Drosophila melanogaster: one gene and its partner. Changing the gene in region 1 together with any one later gene gives a genetic interaction. Each region holds a gene or a part of one and is shown on either strand. Other genes may lie near its edges.

Region 1 (4,234 bases):
AGTCACCGCAAATTTCGAATATATCCTTGCAACACATGATGATGTTAATTATCTGACTTTGCTGCACGGCATATTTTAGACAGACTATTGCGGGGTGTGAAAATCGGAAGAAGGAGGAGAGATTTTCCCTTACCAGCCAACGTTTTTCACGCCCTGCGACAGTGAGTTTATGACACGAGTGTAATATAATTCATATTGTACCGAAAAATGTTAATGCCGCTTGAAAAATACCTCCCAATAAATAATCCTTAATGTTCCGTGTGTGTGAGTGGGTGGCTGTGCTGGTGTGCAAGTGGACGGGAGAGCGGGAGGGCGTATGTGTAGCTGGTGACACCGCCCACCACCCACACCCCCTGTTATTTTATGCGGTGTAACCGCAACACATACAACCTAGGTGGTTGGACGAGGCCATCATGTCCTGACAGTATTATGACGTTGCTCGTCGCCCGCTCCTAACCCGGAATCTCTGCCCGTGACATGGACTTTAAAGCCGGAGAACCAAGGGAAAACAAAGCGAATGGAGAATGAAACATGGCCGCGACAAATTTGTCAGCACAAGGGTGTCCAGATGAAATAAATGGCCCGTTTTTGTTTCGTTTCTCTCGCTTTATTAATATTTATGTGTGTCTGGGGGCGTGTTTTTAATTAAGCGGGTCCACGGGACTCCAACTTGCACCAGAACAGCTCCCGGGGCAGCAGTCGGAAACCGGAGATGCTGCTCATCATGTCCGCCGGAGTGCGATCCGTAGGCTTCAGGTGGTAGCGCAGGACCAACTGGAAGATCAGGGACTTCACCTCCATGAGAGCCAGCCGGTTGCCTATGCAGCTTCGTTGGCCCACTCCAAAGGGCAGGTACGTGAACTGCCGGATCTCGTGCTTGTGCTCCTCGTCAAAGCGCTCCGGTCGGAATTGCTCGGGTTCCGGGAAGTTATCCGGGTCGTGATGAAGTGCCCCCACGTTGATGTGCACTAAGTCGTCCTCCCGCAGGTTAACCACCACCTCGCCTTCCTCATCCTTCAACTGGAAATCAGACCCACACATTCGATCCACGATGAACGCCGGTGGCCACTTTCTCAGCGACTCGGACACCACGCAGTTCAGATATTTCATGCCCATCAGGGTGTCGTAGTCTAGTGGCTTCTCACCCAGCTGCTCCTTTACGGCCAGGATCTCCGCGAGCAATTTTTCTTGCACTTCGGGGTTCATCATAAGTTCGTAGCTGGTGAAGCTAAGGCAGGTGGCCACTGTTTCGAATCCTGCCGAGAAGAACAAGAGGCACTGGGCCAGCAAGTCGTCATCGTTGAATTCGGCCTTATCCTGCTGTGCTGCACTCTCCGCAGATCCTTCTTGCTCTGCCTTAAACTGTCTCTGCGCCTCCATCAGCAAATGAATCATATCGGGCCGCACGATACTCTGCTCCTTTCGATACTTCATGGCACCGAAGACCAGCTTTTTGAAGTAGTCCACGTTATTCATGTCCATCACGGGGACCCGAAGTGCCTAAAAGGGCGGAAAGGTTTTACAATTTGAAAAAAGAATGGAGTGGTGATGTCTTTACCTTCATCAATTTTGGCATCAGAATGTATAGCATTACTTTGAGTCCGCCCCAGAAAGTAAACTCTGAAATGCGCTGCCCGATGGAAAAGAACTCGTTGTTGGGATCCTTGAAGGAATTCACTTGGATGCCAAAGGCAGCCGTCGCGATCACGTCGTTGGTGTAGCGCGTGAAGAAGTCCTTTAGCTCCAGTTCGGAAGTGCCGGCATCCAGTTGGCGCTGCACGAAGTCCACCGCCTCTACATTGCAGAAATGGATGAGCTCGAACATCTGTCGGATTTTGAGGCTGGTGAAAGTAGGCGTCAGGGTGCTGCGCATTTGCTTCCAGCGACGATCCCGCAGACTGAGCAAGCTCTTGGAAATCACGCTGGTATCGTTGAATCCTTCAGTTATCCCCTTGCGATGGTTGGTGAAGGTATCGAAGTTCTTGATGCCCACCTGGCGAATGAGTTCCGGGTCGGAGAGATAGTATAGGGGATCCCGCAGGTTGAAGACTCCATAGACCTTGTGCTGCTTCAGGCGCAAGTGCAGGTCAATGCTAATAGAAACGGTAAAACGTAATTAGAAGGAGCTAAAAAAAATCGTCATATTTACTTGCCTATGTTTTATGTACGACTCTTTACCCATCAGCACCGACCACGGAATATTTCCTAGCAGAGGAATTGGCTTTTCGTGGGCCACGCCCCTCTTCGAGAAATACCCGAAGGTGTAGACGGACCATTTGTACAATAGCAAACCGATGAAGGCTACGAATATCGACAACTCCACGAAAACCATGACGGGATTTTGGGGATGGAGCGTGGGAGTAGGGAGTAGGGGACTCTAATCGAGCTGCGCAGCGCGTGGAGGTTCCGAAAAATTCAGAGAGCTACTTCGCCAGTCAACAGACGGTACGCCACTGAAATAAACAATGTGCGCTCTTTCTGTATATATATAAGCTATCTCGGAGAGAGATACTATAGGCACATATATAGCGGGAGAGAAAAAACCGGCAAAACGTGTGAGTGTGTGTATGAGTTTACCTGATTAAGCGAAAGCGAAATAAAAAACAAACATTAAAAGAATAAGTTTGCTTATCAATTAGCATTGGAAGTCACAAGAACATAATATAATTATATTTATAAGAACTATCTGAATGCTATTGCATGCTCCATTAACAATATATTCAAAAACCACATAAGCTACAAATTTCGGCGCAACTTTCAACCCCATTGCGAAATGGGAAAATCAAATGACGTAACTGAGATATATAAATAGATCCTAATCGAAATATTCCATTAGATGGTAGCAAGATGGCCACACACAAAACGGATTAATTCGAACAGATAACTCCAATCTGATGACTAAGCTACTTTGCTGGTTTCCTGGAGTAAACTCACTAAGGTCCATGAGCATGTGCGACTAGTTTCAGTTCTCAGCCGGGATGAACATGGCGTTCGGCATGTCATGCCTAATCTCATTGGCATAAACTAATTTCAGCACTAATCCCCCAAAGCGACTCAACTATTTATTATAAAGGACTTAGCGAAGACAGCCCCGTGGAGTGGGAGCCTGGGGTTGCTTAAGGAGCCGAGGGAGCTACGTGCCTGGGATCTTCCCGCAGCGACGACCTCAAACTAAAACTCGAACTCAAACTCGAGCTATGTCCCTCGCTGCATCTACACTGGCAAAGATATAGGCCGATTGAAATATGTCTAATTTATTATATATACAATTAAAATAATGGTTGGGTTTTCCACTGCACTGCTTACATTGGTTTTACGCGGAAGGATCGCTAACAAATCAGAATTCCAAATTTAAAACACTCTTCCAAGTGGAGCAGAATCCTTTTGAGAAGTACAACCCCGCATGATTTTGTGAGTTTGAGTGGTGCAATTGCTTGTAGTTTGCAGGTTGGAAAAGTTTAGTGTGCCAGCATCCAGCTTCTAACTCGCTCTAATCCGAGACGTCCTGTGCGAAGTCCTTGGCCATCCAACTCACGTCCCGGCCAAATGACAAAATTTGCTTGCATTTAGTGCGACGCTAACGGGAAATTATTGCACTGCTTGCAGGACGAGGGAGCGATGGAGCCATGGAAAGGACCACAAAGGATGATGAATACAAAAAGCCAACAAATCGGTTGGCAGGCAAAAATCCCATTTGATTCAGCGGTCAGTCAGGAATATCAAATGAGAGCAAAATCAATCTCTCGCTCGTCCTTTGAGCTCCAGTTCTCGCCCGTCTTGTTGTTGGGAACTAAGTCTGTCTTTCAATGGAACTGCTGTTTGGGGCCAGAGGCGCAGAAGGTCCCGAAAAAAGGGGTGCGCTTAAGTACTATCTTTTCTAATGTCCTTCTTTTGATGATATATATGTACTTGCAGTACTTATGTTAGCTTCCCACATGAATGAGATCCCTGTTTATAAATCTATCCTACGCCACTGGCCATCTTCATCGTTTTTGTTTCTGCTGGATATCAAATGTGTTTACATTGGCAAAAATGGGTCGAGGTGGGCGAGTTCAGGGGGAGGTGGAGTGGAGTGGAGTGGGGCAAATGGCCAAGTACTTGAAGACGTTTTTTTTTTGCACTTCATTGGCAACCGATGGGTTTGGGCCATTTGAATCGTTCGTCCTTGCAATCGACCTCGTCGTTGGCTTTGTTGCTGTTGACTTGGCCGTTTGCGAGTCTGTTTTCACTTCCC
Region 2 (7,774 bases), on another chromosome or scaffold:
AACATTCGCGATTTGGTCGGACCCAAAGTGGATCTAAAGATGGTGGAGGAGGGCCCCATCTGCCGGCTGGATCATGCTTAATACCTTAAAAAATCAATAGGACCTGCGATCAAATTGCATTTTTTTTCACACATGAATGTTCCAAAACATATTTATAAATAAAAGTTCCGCCACAGAAACTGGGTCTATATTGATAAGGGAAATATAACATTTGGCGAACCATTTTTGTATTTTCCCTCCAAACAGCTGTTGTTCAGGGTTGTCAAGTGCAGCCGATTTATGCTATCTGCATTTTAGGTTATTGTTTGAGGGAAGCATATCGGGTTTATAAAATTCGGAAAATTTTTAAAGAAACTGCTTAGAGTGAGAATCCTAAAATATGTGAGAATAATAAAAACATGTTTGACAATCAGTCAATCAGTTGAAACTATTTGACAACTTTGCCACAAAACAACGTCAAACGAGCGAAGAAAACAACAAAGGAGAGACGCAAAAAAGAAGAAAGAAAAAAAAAAATAAACAAATTCGTCATCGTCGCTGGAGTTTGGGCCTTGAAAAATGGCAAGCAATCCGAAGAAGTCCCTCCACCAGGCGATCCAGGCCGAGTTTGGTCTCCAGCCCACCAGCGATTTGTCCAAATTGAGCAGTATAAGTGGCACGAGCCCAGAAGCGATGCCAAAATTCACAATTCCGCAGCTCAAAATTCCACAGCTTAGAATTCCACAATTGCAGCTGCAGACGAATGCGGATGCCGCTGCCGAGCAGGAATACCGCCGAGAGGCGGAGGCACACAATCAAATGCTACTCAATGAGATCCAGTTGAGGCAACGGCAGCGATCGGAGGGCGAAAACAAGCCGCAATCAATGGGATTTGTGTTACCCCAACTGGTCGCGATGCCCAAGGAGCCCCTGAACATACCCCTGCTGACAAGGTTGGAGAGCGGCATGAAGAAGCTGGATATAGGCGATGGGACAAAGGTGAATACAGCCACGTCAGCACCCCCACTCATTGACCTCACGTCCACGATTATCGCCAGGCATAAAGGCGCACCGCCCAAGGAGCTGGCCAGCAAGGCGCGCCAGTTGACCAATTGTGAGCCTTTTGCCATACCCTTCATTGCCTGCGATCGCGGAAGAAGGAGCACGACCGGTGTAACTCTCTTGGCCAGCAAAAGATCCATCAACTACGACGAGGACGTGCTGGCCGATCGGTCACCAGCGAATAGCGACTACCGGGAGCAACCGGGACCCATTGGGCTCATGCTGGACGAAATGGTGGGCTATCCGGAGCCGAGAAAGCCCCGTCTAGTGTACGCCGTCACTCCGCTGGAACGGCAGCACCTGCGAATGTGCCAGTATAAGGATTACGGCATCCAGGTGAAGAGATTCCGCTTTGATACTCCCTCGCCGGATGAGCTCGTCAAGCAGGCGCTGCAGAAGTCCTGGCGCTTCTCCCGCACTTGACTCCAGTTCATCCTGGTAGTTGACAATTACCAATAAGTGAATAAAAACAAAAAATCCACTACGTTCAAAAATAAAAGCTGTCTGACTTGATTCTTGCAGGGAGTTGATATCACCCATCGATTTAGTAACTAATTAGTTGGCCATCCAATCCCATTCTTTTGTGGCGCAAATATATTTGCGAACAAGTATATTTATGATTTTAGTATTAAAATATGTAACAATATTTATGTTGTTTATATGAATTTATCAAAACGATCATTAGAATGTTTTCACGCCTTATTTTATTTTGAGCCGTGGCGTCGAAGCTTATTCGCGTTTCAGCCAACGGTCACACTACACAGTCGGTCACACTATTGTTGGGCAGCAAGTCTGGGCACACTGCAACTTTGCGAATAGCAAAATCGCGAAACGCAAAAAATTATATTACTCCCATAAAGCACAATTCGAACGTAAAGTGAACTACTAACGTATAGAAAATAAACACAAAGAGCATAACATAAGAACAAACAACAAGGAGGCGTTTAAATATTTATCAAAATAAGTTCTCTGTTCTTGTTGTGCCTCTGTGTGTTTGTGTCTGTGCGCTCGTTTAACTGTGTGTGTGCTCCTTGCGTGTCGGTGTGCGGTGCCTGTGCTTTGGTGTGCGTGTGCGTATAGCTGTCACTTTCTGGCGCGCACACAAGATATATACACACAGAAATTTGAAGAAGCGGTGCCCACCACACGGCCCCCTCCCCGTTCCAGACAACCATCAACGCCACCAGCACCACCACCACCACCCCCTCCTGTTGGCGCGGCTCGGCTCGGCTCGGCTGGATGTGTGCGCCCGGTTCCGGTGCCTTTTGGTTACCGTTCCCGTGCATCTGGACCTGGAAGCAGTGTGTGCGTGCGAGTGAGCGGGCACGATAGAAGTTGAAAGAGCAGGCGAAAGGAGCAAGAGCAGGACGACAGAGGAGCTCGAGTTGCCGGTACCGTTACAGGTAATATTTATATGTGCGAGACACTCGGCGCAAGTGTGTGTGTGTTAGGTGGGGGTTGAAGATACGGATACAGATACATGGATACATTCCAAAGCGGCTGTATGTGCACTTTTCGCTGTTTCCCCAATGCACATTTAATTACTTATTTATTTTTGCGTTTAACTCGATCGTACCCCTCTTGCCGGCGACGCTCATGTTTTTTGTTGTTGTTATTTTCGGTAATTTATTGCCCCGCCTTCGATAAGATGGAAAATTCCAAACTGCCCACAGATTAGGCGTGTGTACATACATACAGAAATATACACACATTCTGGTTCTGTTTCTGTTTTCTGTGGCTGCTGTAACTCAACGAAAGCAAAAAAAAAGCGTCTGCAAACGCAGACATTTGACCTTGTTGGAGACAATAACAACAAGAATAGCAATAACAACGGTAGTGAAAATAGCAAGAACAGCAACAACCCACGCAGACGATTGCATTTGCGATTGTCGTTTTGGAAATGGAAAATCTAAATTGAATCTTTCTTTAGAAATCTGAATGTGAATCTAAGGCAAAAGTTAATAGATTACCCATATACACACGCTCGGGCAATTATCACAATAACATCGTCATCAGGGTCGAGCTTTTATCAGATCCAGCCGCTCACGCACACACATGCAAGCCAATTATCAGGTTTTAATTGCCAAAGCACGCACAACTAAACCCATTCCACTATTCCAGATCAGAAGTGCACAAGGGAAGCAGCAGCAGCATTAGGACTGTTCCAGTTCCACTTCCCAGTCCCGTTCCAGTATTCCAGAGAAGGTGATCGAAATAAAACTAAAACTAAAACTCGACCAACGCCAGCAGTGAGAGCAGTATTCAAAAGGCAACGCAGAGTTGGAGGAGGAGGAGCTAGTGGACGCGGAGGACACCAGGAAAGCCCAGGAGAACTCCCCCCCCCTGAGACCCTGAGATGTTGCCATTCACCCCGCAGGTGGTCAAGCGTTTGTTAGCACTCAAAAAGGGCAACGAGGACAACAGCGTCGAGGGCAAGTGGTCAGAGAAGGCCGTCAAGAATCTGGTCAAGAAGATCAAGAAGAATTCGCAGCTGGAGGAGCTAGAGCGCGCGATCTCCACACAGAACTGCCAGACGCGGTGCGTGACGGTGCCGCGCAGCAAGCCAGCTCCCGCCGGCGAGCATCTGCGCAAGGGTCTGCCGCACGTCATCTATTGCCGCCTGTGGCGCTGGCCCGATCTCCAGAGTCAGAATGAACTAAAGCCCCTCGATCATTGCGAGTACGCCTTCCATTTGCGCAAGGAGGAGATCTGCATAAATCCGTACCACTACAAAAAAATTGAACTGTCCATCCTGGTGCCCAAATCGCTGCCCACGCCGCCCGACTCCATTGTGGACTATCCGCTGGACAACCATACGCACCAGATACCCAACAACACCGATTACAATGCGGCGATCATTCGCAGCGCCTCGTTGAGTCCGCCGCAGTACATGGAATTGGGCGGTGCCGGGCCCGTTTCCGTATCATCGTCTGCCAGTTCGACGCCAGCGACTGCCGCCGGTGGTGGTGGTGGTCCCTCCTCGTCGTCGTCGTCGTCATCGTCCGCCGCCTCCGCCTATCAACAGCAACAGCAGCAGCTGTCCTTTGGCCAAAACATGGACTCTCAATCGAGTGTGCTTAGTGTGGGCAGCAGCATTCCCAACACCGGCACCCCGCCGCCCGGCTATATGAGCGAGGATGGTGACCCCATCGATCCTAACGACAACATGAACATGTCGCGTCTAACGCCGCCCGCCGATGCAGCGCCGGTGATGTACCACGAGCCGGCCTTTTGGTGTTCCATCTCCTACTATGAGCTAAATACGCGTGTCGGCGAGACGTTCCATGCCTCGCAGCCCTCGATCACGGTGGATGGCTTTACCGATCCCTCCAATTCGGAGCGCTTTTGCCTCGGACTGCTGTCTAATGTGAATCGCAACGAGGTCGTGGAGCAGACACGTCGCCACATCGGCAAGGGCGTACGGCTTTACTATATTGGCGGTGAGGTATTCGCAGAATGTCTGAGCGATTCGTCCATTTTCGTACAGAGCCCAAATTGTAATCAGCGATATGGCTGGCATCCGGCCACCGTATGCAAGATACCGCCCGGTTGCAACCTAAAGATCTTCAACAACCAGGAGTTTGCCGCCCTGCTGTCGCAGTCCGTGTCGCAGGGATTCGAAGCGGTCTACCAATTGACACGCATGTGCACCATCCGCATGTCGTTCGTCAAGGGCTGGGGCGCCGAATATCGCCGCCAGACGGTGACCTCAACGCCCTGCTGGATCGAACTCCATCTGAACGGGCCGCTCCAGTGGCTGGATCGCGTGCTCACACAGATGGGTTCGCCACGGCTGCCGTGCAGCTCCATGTCATAAGCGCACGGCCGGTTCCGGTTTTCAATCTTCCCCCTCCCCCAATTTTCCGCACAGAAAGCGCCGGAGTTTAAGGCCCATTTTTGGGTTTGAAAGAAGATCCACAGAAATCCCAGTAAACGGCTCTGACAAGTAACACTGACGATGAATGGATACTATCCTCAAGAATTTGCGGTAGTCAATATCGTTTATTATCGATTTTTATTCACATTCGAGAGAAATTTCAATGGTTATTAAGATGAAATTGGTATGCAATCAATGTGCTTTTGTTCGGCTTTGTAGTGATGTAGTTTAAATACCCTCTGTCAGGGTATAAAATTTAATTATGTCACTAGCTCTAGAAAAAGTACATTTCACTTGCCGAAAGCTGTACAAATTGATGTTGAAAAAAACTACTTGAATCCTTGATGTAACAAGAACTTCCGCATCATCCAAAAATACTATATACAGCTCTATTCATGTTGAATATGACCCGAGATTCATCAGTGTTACTAGTCAGCAGCTCCGCGGGATATCAAAATGAGAATCGGAATTGGTTTCAAAGAGAAAACCAAGAAAAATTCTGAGAGCACATATGAAATAAGTTCAGGCAAATTATATACGAGTACATAAATGAGTAATTGAAAAACAAATGGTAGATGCAAACCAGATGCAGATATATCTATATACAAAGAGCACACACTTACATGTGGGATATATATCTTTACAAGCATATATGAGAGAGAACATGTATTTGGCGTTACAAGTTTAGGACTATATATTGTGTAGGTGGAAACGTGGAGAGAGTTACAGTTTTCGATAAGAAGCAACAATTTTTTTAAACATTTTACATACAAAAAAAAAAAAAAAAAAAGAAAACCAAAAGCACATGAGGAAATAACCGAAATGGAACCGACCAGGAACACAAAAAAACCAAAAGATACCCCGAATCTGTGTGCGTAAAGTTGGTAGCGCTAGAAGCGAGAGAGTCAAAATTCTTTGAGAAAGAAGCAAAACAATTAAATTGGTGATTTGGAACAAAAATGAATGAGCAAAACAGGAACTGGGATTTATCAAGCTTGAAGCTTACACACACAGACACACTACCATACATTGCAAATGTACATAAGACCAAAATAATGAAATTATTCACGCAGGACCTCCACTTGATCGAGTATGGGATTATAGATATATCCGTTTGAAGATGGTTGTTAAACGTTTCGATTTTCGCTTAGTACGTGTGTGTTAAAAAATTCGTAAACTCTTAAAGCGCAGTCAGCTCTTGTTAGTCGTAATATCCGTAAAATGCGATCATATATCCTATGTGTAAAGCACTTGCCCAACAAAATTTGAATGCCGCAAGCCAGGTCTGGCCCATCTAAGGTGCCATTTTGTTCAGAACTGCATTTATTGTGTACCAAATGAGAGATTCTTGATTCTTTTACAGCATCGTATTTGAAACGATAGCTTAACCAACCAATATGCAATATGGTTTGCCGTTGCTGGCCGGATTTTGCTTGGCAAGTGCACGTTTTTCTTGGGTCTAGATCTTAAGTCTATATATGTAACAAAATTCGCTAGCTTATCTTAACGTTTAAAGAGCCCAAATCCAGTTTAAGTTCAAGTTCAAATTGTTTTTACGTCAATATTTGCTGATTCTTTTAATTCTTTTGTTTTTTTTTGCCCATTGCTTCGCTGTTACGACCAAAAATAACTGTACCGCCTGGCCAGTGTTGGGCAGTGAATGGTGCGTGGCGGGCAGTGTTGCCTAGCGCACTTGTCCTCTGGTTCCGGCGAAACTTTAATTTAAGTTTTGTCTATTGTTTGCCCCCTTTGTTGCTTTTAAGTTTCTCACGTGTGCAGTTTAGTGCTAAGACACTTAGTCCTGATTGTCAATCAATCGAATAAACGACCGCGAACGAGATTGTGTTTTGTTAATTGGCTCTAATCACTGTTTTTAATCAAACAATTGTTTTCGTATTTCCGGCTAAGCCCGCAAATAATGTAATGTAATCCTTAAGTTATGCCTAAACGAAACAAAGCAATGCAGGCGAACATGCAACAGCAACAGTCAACAGTCCTCCGAGGACACAACCACAGAGAACCAGCAACCCCGTACCCGTAACTTTATAAAGTATAAATACAAATATATACATATATCTAATATGCAAGCATGCAGATAAAGACAAACAGAATCGTATATATAAATAAACACTTATATTGAATGGAAAGCGCAGACCAAGCCCCCTTCCGGGGGGCAGCTTAGGGTGGGGCGAGTCTCGGATTCGCCTGGAATTCGATTCGAATGGACAGGGAAATCGTACCGTATACTAACATAATCAAAGTGCTCTCGAGCTGTCAACGCTCGTGCACCTTGAGGTGTTGCTTATGATTGGATTTGCGCAGAAATCGTGCTGGACAGAGTGGACAGGCAAATGGTCGCTGCTGGGTGTGGGCAATCTGGTGGTGCTTCAGCTCCGAGGCACTAAAGAATCTCTTGCCGCACTCCGGCTGTGGGCATGGGAAGTCGCGCTGATTGTAGTGCCGCTTCAGGTGGATGCTAAGATAGCACTGATCCGTTAGGACCCGGCTGCAAACCGGGCAGGTGAAGCTGAGCGCAGATGTATCCCGTTGCTCTTGCTCCGCCAGCGGATGTTCGGGATCCGGATCCGTTTGTGCCGCATGCCTTAGCTTTGTGTGAATGCGCCGCGCGTGGATGGAATGAAAGGAGAGATGACAGTCGGTGGCCAAACATGGATATGGTTTCTCTCCCGTATGCAAGCGTCGATGGACAGTTAGGTAGTTGGCATACCGGAAACCCTTGCCGCAGATATCACATTTGTGTGGCCGCTCCGCCGTGTGGGTCACTGCATGGATGCGTAGCTTGTTCAGTTGCCGGAATCCCTTGCCGCACTCCACGCACACATGCGGCTTCTCGTC

The links.
Region 2: of Cyp9c1 (region 1) and Smox, changing one suppresses a phenotype caused by changing the other (phenotypic suppression), as found in Drosophila melanogaster (one study listed by BioGRID).

Annotation. Positions count from the first base shown.
Region 1 is NT_033778.4:24,629,284-24,633,517, reverse strand, and holds Cyp9c1 (cytochrome P450 9c1), read right to left. Parts: upstream 2,456-4,234; 5' UTR 2,333-2,455; coding exon 2,154-2,332; intron 2,106-2,153; exon of another isoform or gene 2,094-2,105; coding exon 1,559-2,093; exon of another isoform or gene 1,501-1,558; coding exon 646-1,500; 3' UTR 595-645; downstream 1-594. UniProt on the Drosophila melanogaster protein: May be involved in the metabolism of insect hormones and in the breakdown of synthetic insecticides.
Region 2 is NC_004354.4:8,136,306-8,144,079, reverse strand, and holds Smox (smad on X), read left to right. Parts: upstream 1-1,800; 5' UTR 1,801-2,444; intron 2,445-3,162; 5' UTR 3,163-3,397; coding exon 3,398-4,858; 3' UTR 4,859-7,039; downstream 7,040-7,774. Other genes in the region: alpha-PheRS (Phenylalanyl-tRNA synthetase, alpha-subunit), read left to right, coding at 1-81; CG17982 (uncharacterized protein), read left to right, coding at 559-1,464; CG2120 (uncharacterized protein), read right to left, coding at 7,193-7,774.